Linked DNA regions of Drosophila melanogaster. The gene in region 1 interacts genetically with each later gene. Each region holds a gene or a part of one and is shown on either strand. Other genes may lie near its edges.

The links. A genetic interaction does not mean that the proteins touch.
Region 2: of Syt4 (region 1) and Syx4, changing one enhances a phenotype caused by changing the other (phenotypic enhancement), as found in Drosophila melanogaster (one study listed by BioGRID).

The regions. Positions count from the first base shown.
Region 1 is NT_033777.3:7,264,429-7,271,327, forward strand, and holds Syt4 (synaptotagmin 4), read left to right. Parts: upstream 1-1,636; 5' UTR 1,637-1,760; intron 1,761-2,367; 5' UTR 2,368-2,424; coding exon 2,425-2,467; intron 2,468-3,240; coding exon 3,241-4,427; intron 4,428-4,626; coding exon 4,627-4,701; intron 4,702-4,764; coding exon 4,765-4,884; 3' UTR 4,885-6,381; downstream 6,382-6,899.
Region 2 is NC_004354.4:2,738,576-2,746,061, reverse strand, and holds Syx4 (syntaxin 4), read left to right. Parts: upstream 1-1,985; 5' UTR 1,986-2,578; coding exon 2,579-2,611; intron 2,612-3,103; exon of another isoform or gene 3,104-3,145; intron 3,146-3,264; coding exon 3,265-3,501; intron 3,502-4,070; coding exon 4,071-4,164; intron 4,165-4,230; coding exon 4,231-4,473; intron 4,474-4,565; coding exon 4,566-4,639; intron 4,640-4,817; exon of another isoform or gene 4,818-4,905; intron 4,906-5,057; exon of another isoform or gene 5,058-5,257; intron 5,258-5,590; exon of another isoform or gene 5,591-5,678; intron 5,679-6,516; coding exon 6,517-6,765; intron 6,766-6,829; coding exon 6,830-6,901; 3' UTR 6,902-6,973; downstream 6,974-7,486. UniProt on the Drosophila melanogaster protein: Potentially involved in docking of synaptic vesicles at presynaptic active zones.

The sequences.
Region 1 (6,899 bases):
ACTTTTTTTATTTTGCTACCCTCTTCATGACTGTAATGTTTACTATAATGATTATATATTTTAGAGATTCCGTTGAAATTGTGTATATCAGCTCATTTCATTTAAAAGGAAAGGTGTTACTAATTTGTTGGGGATTTTGATATTTGTCATGACTAATCATTGATTATAAATATTTCTCCTCTGTTTATATTAATAGAAATATCGTTTGAAATAAGAAATAATACTGACTCAAACGTAATTTATGAAAAAAAAGTAGGCTTATTAGCCTGAATATGTCGGTTTCAAAGCTAGCACCAAACGGAAATTGGGATCGAAAGAAATGTGCTCAACATAAATAAGCGCAAGTAGTTTGTCTTTTACAATACGACTCATTCCGTCAAAATGAGGTGGTGGCTAATAAGCGGTGGAATCGGGTGAGAAACCGGGCTAATTTCCTAATACTGCAATGGACGTTTAATGAACTGGCTGGTATCGTAAAACACCTAAATGTGGGCACTTTTTCATTCGAATAATACCCTGGGTAATTGAGCACAAAATCGAACAGATTAGTGGTCAAATGGCAGACAATGGGTGACCGTTTTTGATATGTGTGGAAAAAGAAATATAAACCAGTAACTAAATTAGAAACGTGTCTAGAGCAGAAATCGTGAGGCATACTGTGCTCTGTGCCAGAAAAACAAACGAATCGAATTGGAGCTATTGCAAACAAAGTGCAGTAAATTTATCGCCGTGAGCCATCAGAAGACCGAACAAAATTCCGTTTCTTGGGCTTATGACAATGGCAAATTTCCAGCAGACTTCGGGCCAAAAAGCTGTCCAAATCTTTTGAGATTCCTCAATGCCAGAAACGGACATCGCGAATTTTTGGATTTTGGGGTTGTGCAAAAACCGAAAAGGCAGCAAATAATAGAAATAAAGACGATTGCATCAACTTACGATCGTAGAGTCCGGTGATGTGGTGTCTAGTTTCCTTTTATGCTTTAAATATTGAATTAATTGTTTATTCCTTATAGAAAATGCCTCGGGAAAATTTTTCAATGGCCCGAAGACGACAAAAACGTGTGTGCTATCTGCTGTCAGCAAGTTTTTCTGAGCCGCTTTTTTTTATCACACAAAAACACTGGCAGCGCTGCAAAATCGTTTTTAAGCCCTGACTTCTAGGGTTTTTGTCAGTTACCCGTATTGATCACTGCACTTGGATGGGCTTTCTGTTGGTCTCTTTCTCAACTTGTTCGAACTGCGCGCAGACGCAGACCGTTACCGACTCAGCTTCTGACCAGCAGGCGCCAGTCTTTTTAAACTGACGAAAAGCTCGAACTCAACGAAAGACAGCTTAAAGCTGGCCGCAAAGCTGCGCTCTCTGAAACTTGGTCTGAACCGGGAGCTTTTGAGTGTTTGCAATGAGTAGGTCTAAATTGGTCTAAATTTTACCTTTTTATAACTTTTTATGTATTTTATTACTCAACCCTTTACTCATGAATATGGTCTAGTGTTGTAAAACTTTCTTTAAGCACCCCTGACTTCGGCTAAGACGTCACAGGTTTCTTCAACCACCGCTTTCGGCTAAACAACCCACACAAAAAGCTGCTTGCTCGTGCGCCTGCGCGAGTTTAACGATTTCCCAGCCAAGTTAAGAAGCCACTGGCAAAATAAAGTCGAACGGCTGCAGAACTGCGTTGTTGATTTTTTTTCCACAATTTGTGGATGTGAAAAATATTACAATTTTTGGATATTAATTGTGCAGGACCAGATACAAAAAAGTAAGGCTATAATACATTCAAGCAAGTAAAATGTAGGCGTAAACAGGATTACGAGGAAAACGTAAAAACTATCAAGTGGCTACTATGGCTTTTCCGAGAATCTCTGATGCTGCAATAAACAATAGATACAGATACTGGAAGTGATAGTAAAAGGGAATATTTTCAAAACGTTACGAAGACCTAAATGAAAGAAAGGAACATTTCTAAATGTGGGACTTCCCATTAAAAATGGTTTCCAGAAGTTGAAAAACCTGCAAACTTCGTGTGCGTGTGTGCAAGGGCTGCGATGATTCATGCGACCCTAGAAGAGCACCCAAGTGGCTCATATGTGTGTGTGTGTGTGTGTGTCTCTCCCGCTCTCTTGCCAGAAAGTGTGCCTGAGTGGGTGTCCTCAAGTAATGCAAATAACAACAAAAGCCAAACGTCAGCATAACCTGAGCAGAAAGCAGGCAGCTGCTGCTCACGAAAAAGCCTCTAGCATACATTTGTGCGCAAAATCGAAGCACGCAATTCTTCACGTGCCACCGAAAGTTGCAAACATCCAAAGACAGCCAGCAAAACTTTTCCTCCTCACTTTTAAACCGTGACTAATTGTTATTCCACACAGCCGCCAGGAACATCGAGTGGAAACGTGCTGAGAGCGGCTAAGCCAAATCCATTTAAAATGGCCGAAGAGTATATCCCAGATGCCAGCGTCATGGACACGAGTAAGTACCATACCATATTGCAGCATCCAATGCGACCTTAGTGGTCGATCAGTCCAATTTGCTCATTAGCAACTTGTTCAAAATGTTGCACACAAGTTGTGCCAAACTTTTTCGGTGGCTATGAATAATTAATTCGGGTCTTTGTGCCTGGATTGTCAGGTTTCGAAGGGGATACGTGCACATGTGTTATTTGTTGTGCTCTTTTATTTGGGGTGAAATGTATAAGCTCAAAACGAATTGGCGAAAGTTAATGTTCTAATAACAAAGGAAGTCTACAAACAACTCACAGCTGTGTTAGGGAGAAAAGTTCTTTCTATTTTTTCATTTCGGTGACTAATTACAGAACATATTCAAAAGTGTGATTAAACGTTTTCTTTTGTGTTTTCGGATATTAGTAAAAGATAGAAAATAAAACGCTTTTTGTTATTATTGGATATTTAAATTTAATATTCGGTATTAGATTTATAATGATAAAATGTTCTATATAATTTTCTATTATGTTTTAAATTCTTTTAATTATCCCATTATATAATTTTGAGATTGCATATTGAGCGTCTATATATGTAATCTGGAATGGGGTGCTAGTGCTAGTTAACAGTGGGTTTTTCAAAACTTCCAACACAATACGAGTAAATTTTACTTTTGTTTATGGCTTTAAGGTTACACTAGTGACATTGTCCCATCACCACCTTGCACATATTTCAATCGAAGACAACGTTTTGGGTACAACTAAACTATGCATATGTTGCCTAACATACCTGTTGTCCTTTCAGTTGTCCCCGCCATCCTGGGACTGACTGCGGCTGCTGTCCTCTCGTCAGTGGCCTGCATCTGCGCCCGGCAGATGCGCCTCCGGAACAAGAAACAGAGCCAGCACGACGCCTCGTTCCCCTTCCAGCCGACCCGGCGACCGACCGCCGTTCGATCGCCCAGCGGCCAGCCGCCGCACTACTTGAAGAAGTCGCCCTCGCCGACGGGAGGCAAGCAGATGGGACTGCTGTCGCCGATGCAGGACCAGTCCACCTCCCCGATTGCGCAACCGAATGTCAAGTACAGCGAGGAGGGAGATGGACCCGCCCAGCATGCGGAGCAGCAGAATGGCAATCAACTGACCGTGGTGGATGGTAATGGGTTGAAGCACTCGCTGCACAACAGCCTTCACCACTCGCCGGTAGAGACGATCGCCAACGGAAGTGTGACCATTACCCTGGACGACCATTCGCTGACCAACGGGAAGGAGCTGACCGTGACCGACCAGTACGGCAAGCTGGGTACCATCTATTTTAAGCTGCGCTACTTGGCCGAAAGGAACGCCCTTATGGTGTCCATCATCCGTTGTCGCGGACTCCCCTGCAAGGGAGGATCGAGCGGAACCGGAGATATTCCCACTGGCATGAATGGACGCACTCAGGCGGCAACGGATCCGTATGTCAAGCTGCAGCTGCTGCCGGACAAGCAGCACAAGGTCAAGACCCGGGTGGTGCGAAATACCCGGAACCCGGTTTACGACGAGGACTTCACCTTCTACGGCCTGAACATGAACGACCTGCAGAACATGTCGCTGCACTTTGTCATCCTCAGCTTCGATCGATACTCACGTGACGACGTCATTGGCGAAGTGGTGTGCCCATTGACCTCCATCGAGATCGGGGACATCTCCAAAGAGGCTTTGTCCATCAGCAAAGAGATCCAGCCACGGAGCTTGAAGATTCGAGCCCAGGGTCGCGGGGAGCTGCTCATCTCCCTCTGCTGGCAACCAGCTGCCGGTCGCCTCACCGTCGTCTTGCTGAAGGCCCGAAACTTACCGCGCATGGATGTCACCGGACTGGCCGATCCGTATGTTAAGATATATCTCCTCTACAATGGCCAACGCATCGCCAAGAAGAAGACGCACGTGAAGAAACGAACTCTGAGCCCCGTTTTCAACGAGAGCTTCGCATTCGATATTCCCGCCGCCGAAGTGAGTAATAGTATATTCATTTACTATTTGTTTGTAGTTTAACGAAACACCATATCAATTACCTAGCATAGATTAATTGTTAATTGTTTTCTTGTGTTCGTATAATTATCATAGAACTTAAACATGGACGGACTATTTTTGAAAAGCTTTTATAATAATTTTAAAGAATCATAAGTTAACGTGCATATCTCAATTACAGGGCGCTGGCGCCAGTCTTGAGGGTGTGTCTTTGGAACTGATGCTGCTCGACTGGGATCGCGTGACCAAGAATGAGGTAAGTCGCATGGGATGACCTAATGCCAATAGCTGGATAATTGCACGCTCGATATTTCCACAGGTCATCGGTCGGCTGGAGCTGGGCGGCCCGAACTCGAGCAGCACCGCCTTGAACCACTGGAACGAGGTTTGCAACTCGCCGCGCCGCCAGATCGCCGAGTGGCACAAGCTGAACGAGTAGGGGAGGGGCAGGAACCTCCTGGGCGCAGGCGCCCCTTAATGAGGGGGAAGGGAGCAGGAGCAGGCAACCGAAATGGGAGTCATGTGACCTCGTTGCCACCATGAATTTCTCTTTGGTTTTTGGCATATGATTGCATATTGATTGAGTTTATTTTCTACTTTCTACTTTATATTTCACTTGATTTCTGGGAGATCACTTGCTTTGAGTTTGAAGCAAGATTAATGCGAGATAATTGGCCGTTAACGCCACAAGCAGAAAAGAAATATTTACCAAGCAACCACTAACTAAATTAAATGTATTAGAAAATGTTTAGGACCCTAAAAGTGCATGTAAGTGTAAGATAATTCAGAAACATCTCAATATAGACATGTTTAAATATGAGAATAAGCAAGGCAGGGGAATTCTCAATATATTTTAAACTGACACCGACTTTGTTGCTATATATTCATGTATGATTTTCATATCAAATAGTTGAAGTTATATTTAATGTGCCCACCACTGAAGTTGATTTCCTCAAAAGATATATTATTAACCATACATCTGTATAAAATATTTATGATATCTAACGTTTAAGCATACATATGTCTGTACAATTTAATTTTAATTATTTGAATATTTTAGTTTGATTGTAAAGACCTAAAGTATACCATCGCTTTAATGGATACAAGACATCAAATTTGCACACCCCGGAAGCTCTTAAAGTTTTGTCCAGAACGAAGCAAAGATAGATGCTTACTGCTTAACACTTTATACGTACTCTTAAAAATAAAAACAAATAACTAAAACTAATGAAACAAATAAAACTAAACCAAATTGAATCTAGAGAGAACACGCAGCAGAATGCTTAGCACCAAGAAGCTACAAAACCACACACAAATCGATCGAAAAAGTCAGAAAACATTGATTCGGAGAGGAAACCAACACAATACAATAATGTAAGCAGCATAGTACATGTAGGAATCAATTACCAATAACATACTCTAGAGTATAACCACTCACGAATAGCTCAAACCGAACGCAATAAGCACTACAGGTGTATCTAGCGGCACTACCTTTAAAGGCAACGGATGGAGGAGACCCCGATGAAAGCATAGCTTAACGAAGACACCGAATCATTATCCACTACTGATATTAAGTGTACTGAATACAATTATAAACTATACCAGATCTATATAGACATCAGCCCGCTTCTACGTATATTTTGTAAACTGAGTGTTAGAGCATTAAACTTCATTGAATAACTACGTGCATACAACCATAAGGATATATACAAGCATACATAGCGATTCGCGAGAATCGCAGATACAACTTCAATTCGTGTCCAATCAAAACTTCAATTCGTCTAATGGAAAAACAATAATTACCAATACATATGCAAAGAGTTTGTGCAGAGGAACCCAAATTATATGAGATGTGTATAATTCTACATTATATGTAATTGTAATTGTAAGCTACATCAAATGGTTAATTTCAGTAATAAAAGGTATTATATAAAACAATGTGCACTGCGAATTATTTGCATTAATACGTGTCTTATCAGCTCTCTTAATTCTGTGAGTATACTATAGTTAACAGAGTTTAAAGCACTGATAAGAGGAGATTCTTGCTTATACAAAAGAGTACAGACTAACAGATACCTATTATATCATTGGATTGCACATTTCTGCTTTCCTTACTATTAGATGGGTCGCTTGCCTTGAAGTCTAATACTAAAAACAATAATTGGCAATTGTTTGCCAGATGAAAGTTCCGATCGGCCAGATCAAAGGTTCGAATTATGCTATAGCAAGGTCTGCGATGAGGAGGGTTTTTATGGTGGGTGTTTAAATGGAACTCTAAATTGCGATAGAAAGATCGACTGTTGGGATGGAAGCGATGAAAATAAGTTCGAGTGCTTGCATGATGCAAATCTAAAGAATGAGTACGAAGACCTCAAAGGGAACTGTATGTAAGTTGTATTTGCTATGAAACTCAATTGGTTGAGTTTGAGTATGTTCACGTTAGATGCTGTCCTA
Region 2 (7,486 bases), on another chromosome or scaffold:
CATGACAAAATAAATTGTAAACAAAGGAAAGCGCGAAAGCCGAGAAAACTAACAAAAAACGGGCACAATAAACTTGACTGCCTATAACAATATCTCCGCTTTTCCGACCCCTTTGTTTATGGAAAAGCAATGGAAAAAGGTGAAAAGCGGGTGTTAAACGCAGGGAATATGAATATGTTGCTGTTTTGCCAACAATTTGCACTAAAAAAATAAGTGAATAGATAATAATAACCTGGAATACATTTTAGACTTACAGTCCGCAATGCAAATAAAGGCGGGAAAAACAAGAATTTCATCTTTTTGTATTCTCATTACCTAAACTCAATGAATCCCATGGATTGATAAAAATAAACTGCTTTGTATAGCCACTCCACCTAAATTGAGTTTTGCTTTGTTATGCAGTTTTTTTTTTTAACTTTACAGCACAAAAGTGACAATATCTTCATTGAGTCAGAGTTCTATACGATCGTTTGTAAATAAAAGCGGATTCACGACTTTCGAGCAATTGAATGCCTCTTAATAACGAGTTGGCAAGAAATCGTCGACTAATAAAATGATATTGGAACTCACAAAACCTTCCGAATGTATCTGATAAGCGATTGGCGGTTCGAATTCCACGACGGGGTCACAAAAAAAACATGACTTATATGACTCATTTTAAAAGCCAAACAAAAAAAAAATAAAGCAAAAATAAAGTAACAAGTTCAAGCTCAGAAACATCAGTTTATCTCAATCTCAATTAATTGGTATTTTGCAATAAAAAGTAAATGTTCATGTTTAAAGGGTGTATTAAAGGGTATTCGCGAATTCACATATTCCACATTGAATTTCCAAATCGATTTAAATGTTTTAACCTTATGGCGCTACATGCAGTTCAATTCAAAGTATCAGTATATCACGTATACGTATGCTTTTTATACAATCATTAGAGAGGGAAGAATTCGCGACACGATTCTTTTCTGCCGTCTTTTTAAATGGCATGGCAACTTGAGAAGAATTGCGAACCAAATGAGAAATGGAAATTCGCAACTGTCTGGTGTTGATGGTTTTATTTTTCTTGTTATTGTTGTTGACGTAGTTGAGGGCAGTTCATAAGCTTCGTTTTGCAACCGCAAGAATTGCTAATATAAAGCGGGTAGACCATCTAGCTACCCAGTAAGCAAAATAGCAATAAATTTATTATGGGAAACTTTCGAAGAAACAAGCAACTGAACTGTGCTTAAGAAGTATAATTTACACAAGCGTTTTGAAGGGATCAAGTTGTAAAAAGTGGTGAGTACAACGCTTGACAATGAATTTACACCCTTGACCTACATAGATGCGACCCGCTGATACCCTGTAAATGCATATGGTGGCACAGTACAAAGCCAGCAATAGAAAAAAGTTCAACTAATTAGCGCAAGTGACTTTTGAACGTTCTCGTCGCAGGTTTATTTCTCTTACTCGGTCTTTTATTTCAATTGAACGGCAACATGGAGCGTGAAAAGTGCGACAACAACAGCAAAAGGCGGCAGAGCAATGTAGAAATGTTTACCATACAACAGAGTAGAAATAATAATAAAAACAATTAACACATTTTTCTCCGCCGCCTAACCAGTTTTCATTTCGGTGGCAAAGACGATTTATTCATTTTATTCGGAGACAACAAAAAATGTAGATCGCCACTAACTACACATAATGTAGTACGAGTCTCTATCTTTATCTCTCTCCAGCTAAAGCACATGAACGTACATATCAAATACACCGAAGTTCATGAAATCGAATACCTTCGTATATTCAAATCACAATTCTATTGCTGCATTTAATGTACATTTTTGAATTTTTCATAACTAATTTGAATTTGGATTAGGCCCAATGAATTTATACCATAAAATGCCTATTATTTTGGCCCAGGCTGTAGCCAGAGTGTTTGCTGTCTTTAATCTTTTTGAATTGAAAGAAATCTCGACGCGACTGGGAGGCTCTGCGTTTTTGTGCCGGCGTCGATTTTTTAGTTCGAAAACGTATGCGGCGCGGTGAAGACAAAGGAATTGATTTTCAATAAATCGAATAAAATGTAGCCGAATGTATTTACATGTTAAATTTTAAAAATACATAAAGCTAGTTTTTCCCATAATCCAATTTTTTTCTTTTTTGTGTTTGTGTGTGTGTGCAACAAAAGAGCGAGTAAGAGAGCAAAGAGCCGCCAATAAATGGCAAATATGTGATAGGTGATAATCTGTGTTTAGGCCTTTCTGACTGTCCCTCTCTCTCTCTCTCTCTCTCTCCATGACTTTCCACCCCGCCCTGTCGCTTTCCGAAGGGCAGACGGTAAATATTAGGCGGCTCTTATCAGAAACTTGTGCGCTGATAAGCTTTGATAGCAGGTTTCGCTCTCTCCTGCGCTCTCAATCAAATTTTCCCATTCGCGAACAGCTGTTGGAGGCAACGGCAACAACAAACCAGGAACAAAGCTCAGAAGCTGCTGTAAAGGATATAAAGTGGACATTTTGGAGTACTGGAAAGGAATTCAAGGAATTGGCATAAATTTGGCATATAATTGGCATAATTCAAACCAAAGGCAGTCCAAGTTGCAGAAATGGGTAAAGATCGACTGCCCGAGCTTTTGCAGGTAAGAAAATATTAGAAACGTGGGTGGTTGGTTGGGAGGTTGGGATGAGGTAACTGCTAATTAGTTTGAAGCACAGTGGTTTGGCATCACTCAAACCGCAATACGAATAAAATCTACTTAACACGATGAAATACATTTGGTGGTATTTGCCAGGAAAAGGATTCCACTTTTCTCGGTAAAAAGTAATCCTAATCAAAGTTTTTTTTTTTTTTGCGGCACGTTGAAACACATTCTGACCAAGGTGCTGCCACCTTCTTTACAATTGGCCCAATCTCTCACATTTCTGTTGGCGCTTTTGGCACTATTTCGACTTGTGAGCCAAGGGGGTTTGGTGGGTGTTCGCTATGGCATTTATCAGATCGGCCAGAGATAACGACGATAATGTGGCCACACATCACACTTACGGGGCAACCCCGCGTTTCCGCCGACAAACTTTTAGCACCAAGTGAATTTCAGTACCGAAGTCATTTTTATAGTTCATTTACACCGCGCCAGATTGTGAACACACAAACGTAAATAAACTCAACCAAAGTTGTTAGTTTCAATTTAGTTTTTTCTCAGTTTTTCCCTGCAGTTCGTTAGGATCGCATGGACCTATTTTATTTTTATTTATTTATTTTTTTTTCTTCTCATTTTTGCTGTACTAATTCCAGCGCTCATTGAGCACGAACTCGTCGAACTCGTCGTCGAACGGTTCACTGCTTTTGAACGTGTACAGTGGAACCACGGAGTTCATCATTGGCAACACCGGCGGTAACAATAATAGCTACAGTGTCGTTAGCCAAAACTCTCACAGCTGCAGCAACAATAACAGCAGCACCGAACCCAAGGATCGGTCCAGTTCAAAGATGACGCAGTATGGCTCGAATGTGGATGACATACTCAATCCGGTGAGTTTAAGGATCGAAGTGTATACAAAACACAACTTCAGAATTCATACAAGTTTTTACTATTATTGAGTATTGAAATAGTTAATAGAAGAAACTTTAACTCCTAAGATAGCTATCTTGAAAGTTATAAATACTTAGCGAAGCAAGAACATACAACAGAAAGCAGCTAATATCTAGCATAGTTAAACGTTTCCCCTCAATGGAAATAAAAGATCAGAGAGCCGGAGAGAGGGAAACCCTTTTTTTCTTTTTTATGGCTTACCCACACATGTGTGCACTTATGAATCAGCTGTATTACTCAATCGCTGCCGGCGTAGCGCGAAAACTCGTGATAAGTCCAGAAAAAAAAAAAAACATTTTCTCATTAAATACGTTTTTTATTGTGGTTAAGAGAGCGGACGAAGAGAAGGCAAGTAGTCGCCATGTAAACGTAAACAACGGTAGACAACTCTTGCAAAGCAAAAAAGCAATACAAGCACTGCTTCCTCCTGAGCAAGGAAATGTACTGGAAATGCAATGGAAGTGAATATACGATTTTAATAGATTTTTACGGTATCCTTCCTTTTCAGTACACGGAGATTCGCCAACAACTCGCACAGATAGCCGCCAACTTGGAGACGATGAACCGCATGGCCCAAACTGTCAATCTGCGAACTTTCAACGGTAAGAATTTGAATCTAAAGTTGTGAATACTTCCACTGCATCACGGTCTAAATCCAATTCGCACAGAGAACGAGATGGATGAGCTTCACAACAAAAACCTGAGGCTGGGCAATCAGCTAATGACGCGATTCAACGACTTCAAGGCGAATCTGCCGGCGGAAAACGATTACAGCTTGGAGGCAAGGATGAAAAGAACCCTTTTCTATGGACTCCACCAGACTTTCATCAATCTGTGGCACAAAAACGAACTATTCCTGCAGAACTACGAGACCAAGGTCAAAAAGAATCTGAGACTGCATACAAAAATCAGTAAGTGTGATACAAAATGGACGAGTCTGATTAAATGCTTTGCAACTATTACATTATTTTGTTTAAGAACTTCGTTACAATCTACTTTTTAGTTAATTCTGAAGCCAGCGAACAAGAAATCGAGTTACTCATCGAGAACAAGACAACCAAACTCTTTGTGGATAATGTGAGTAAAGAAAGAATTATACAAACAACTAAGTCTTCTGTCTGATATGATTCCTTATCAAAGGTTTCATAAACATATATATTTTAATATGTTCGGCATTTAGTATGTAGTTTAAATGACATTTTATACAATCTAGGACTATTAGCTACTAAATATTACTCAGTAGAGCGCAACTCACCTCGATGTTGTATTCATTTTTCATTTCATTTGACTTTATCGCATCTATAATTTGCGAGACGATCATTTTCATATCACTTTAAGTAAAGCTTTACACAGAAAAAAAAAAAATTTGGGATTTTAATAGCTAATAGGATATAATCACTTTCGCAACTTTTTCAACACTGGAACACCATAAAAAAAATGAAAAAAAAAACACTGAAGCTCATTTGGTGTAACACCCACACACCTTCATACATACATACATATGTATGAAATTATTTTGCTCAAACGCAAAATTACCGCGAATTTAGGAAAAAAAATGCTTCGTATCACAATGCCTATACTCGCATTTACTCGAGTAACAGCACTAAACAACGGTAAATTCAATAAACTTAATTTCGCGGTGCGCAGTTAAAAAACACGTGCGTATGTCGATGCTCACGAAGAAGAAGGAAAGAGGAAGTTTAAACAGGGAATGATCAAGGGCCAACGGTAAATCAAACTCATACATACTCTCTCTGTTTCCCGCTGTTGTATTAACATCATCTATTAGTTAATGAGGCTGTTAAATAAGGCATTATGTTCTGCAATACAGATTATCACATACGTTGATTAATTATATTGGTTGAGTGGTTAGGCTATACATTTTTATATTGAATAGAATATATTTTCAAACTCAGTGGTTCACCATCAAAAAATATAAAAAAAGAAGTGGAAGCTAATTTACCGCAACACACACATTACATTACATACATGTGTAAATAGATGTTAGCACACACATTCTATACATACAAACATATTTCGCGCGCCATTGAAAACGCAAAATTACAGCGAATTTAGGAAGAAAAACGCGCAAATGCTTCGCATCACAATGCGCATACTCGCATTTACTCAAGTAACACTTTTCACCATCTAAAGATCGTTGAATTCAATAAACTTTATTTCGCGGCGCGCAGTTAAAAAACACGTGCGTATGTCGATGCTCGGGAAGAAGAAGGAATGAGGAAGATTTAAACAGGGAATGATCAAGGGCCAACGGTAAATCAAACTCATATGCACTCTCTCTGTTTGCCGCTGTTGTTTTAACATCATCTATTAGTTAATGAGGATGTTAAATAAAGCATTATGTTCTGCAATACAGATTATCACGTACATAGATTAATTACATTAGCCGTATAGCTAAGCTATACATATTTATATATATAATAGAAACTCAGTGGTTCACCATAAAAAAAAAGTGGAAGCTTATTTAGCGCAACACACACATTGTGTATGTTCATACATACATATGTAAATGCGGATTTTAGCGCGCACATTCTATACACACAAACATATTTCGCGCGCCATTGAAAACGCCAAATTACCGCGAACTTAGAAAGAAAAAGCGCGCAAATGCTTCGTATCACAATGCCGATACTTACATTTACATCTAAACCATGTTAAATACAACAAACCTCATTTCGCGACGCACAATTAAAAATCACGTGCGTATTTGGATGTGGCTGAGAAAAAGGGAAGAGGAAGACTTGAAGAGAAAACGATCAAGGACCAACGGTAAATCAATAAAATAAGATCTTCACCCGCCCTTTCTAACATTCTCTGTTAATTAACCTTCAATTTAACACAAAATGTAAAGATCAAAAGGTATTTGTATTGCAAATAGTAAATAAATGTAGACATTTGCTTAATCTTTATAATAACAATTTTTGTATTTTTAGTTTCTGCAGGAAACGGAAAAGGAGCGGCAGACACTGCGCGAAATGATGGATCGATTCAACGAGCTGCGCCGCCTGGAGAAGTCCATCGAGGAGGTGCACGCCCTGTTCATGCGCATCCAGACCCTGGTAATGGAGCAGAGCGAGGTGATCCAGCGGGTGGAGTTTCACGCCCAGCAGGCCACGCTCCACGTGGACAAGGGCGCCGACGAGCTGGACCAGGCGGAGCAGCACCAGAAGAAGGCGCGCAAGGTGGGCACACTGCGAATCCCCGAGAGCGTTGGGTTCTAAAAGGCATTTTCCCTTGTATTTGCAGAAAAAGATAATGCTCATCGTGATACTCGCAGCCGTGTTGCTAGTATTACTCCTTGTTGGTATTTATTTGTGATGCACGCGAGAAACTTTATTTTTTTGGCCTATTTTTAAAATTTATACGTAAGAAAATAAACTTTAAAACCTCAAGAAGAATTTTTGCAATTAATCAACAGGTAAAGGAAATCAATAAAAGCTTATGCTATTGAGAGCGTGCTCTATTCTGAGTCCCTTTAAATCATTAGTTTGTTTGTTTCGTGTGGATTTTGTATATTTTTATTAAATTTAATATGTAAATAAGATAACGGTTAGTTCAAAGGGTACGCATTTAGCTGGAAAGCAGCCAGGAAACGAAAGCTGCGGCTAGAACTAGCCATTGGCGGCTGTAAAACAACCGAGCGGGCATCGCTGCGGGTAAACAAAACAACTTAACAGCAACCACTTCGCGCCTAACAGCACACACTGCACTGTTGATACCACACTGTTGGCCAACATCAACATCCCTGGCGTCTCGTTAATAAGTTTTTTATATAGTCGTTTGGCACCGATTTTCCATGTCTGATTTGTAGGTGAGTGCACGTCGGAGCTTGGGAAAGCCTTCGAGATCATTTCTGGTCGGTAGTGGATTAGCCCGGGCGCGCGGTTCAGCGACAATACCAAG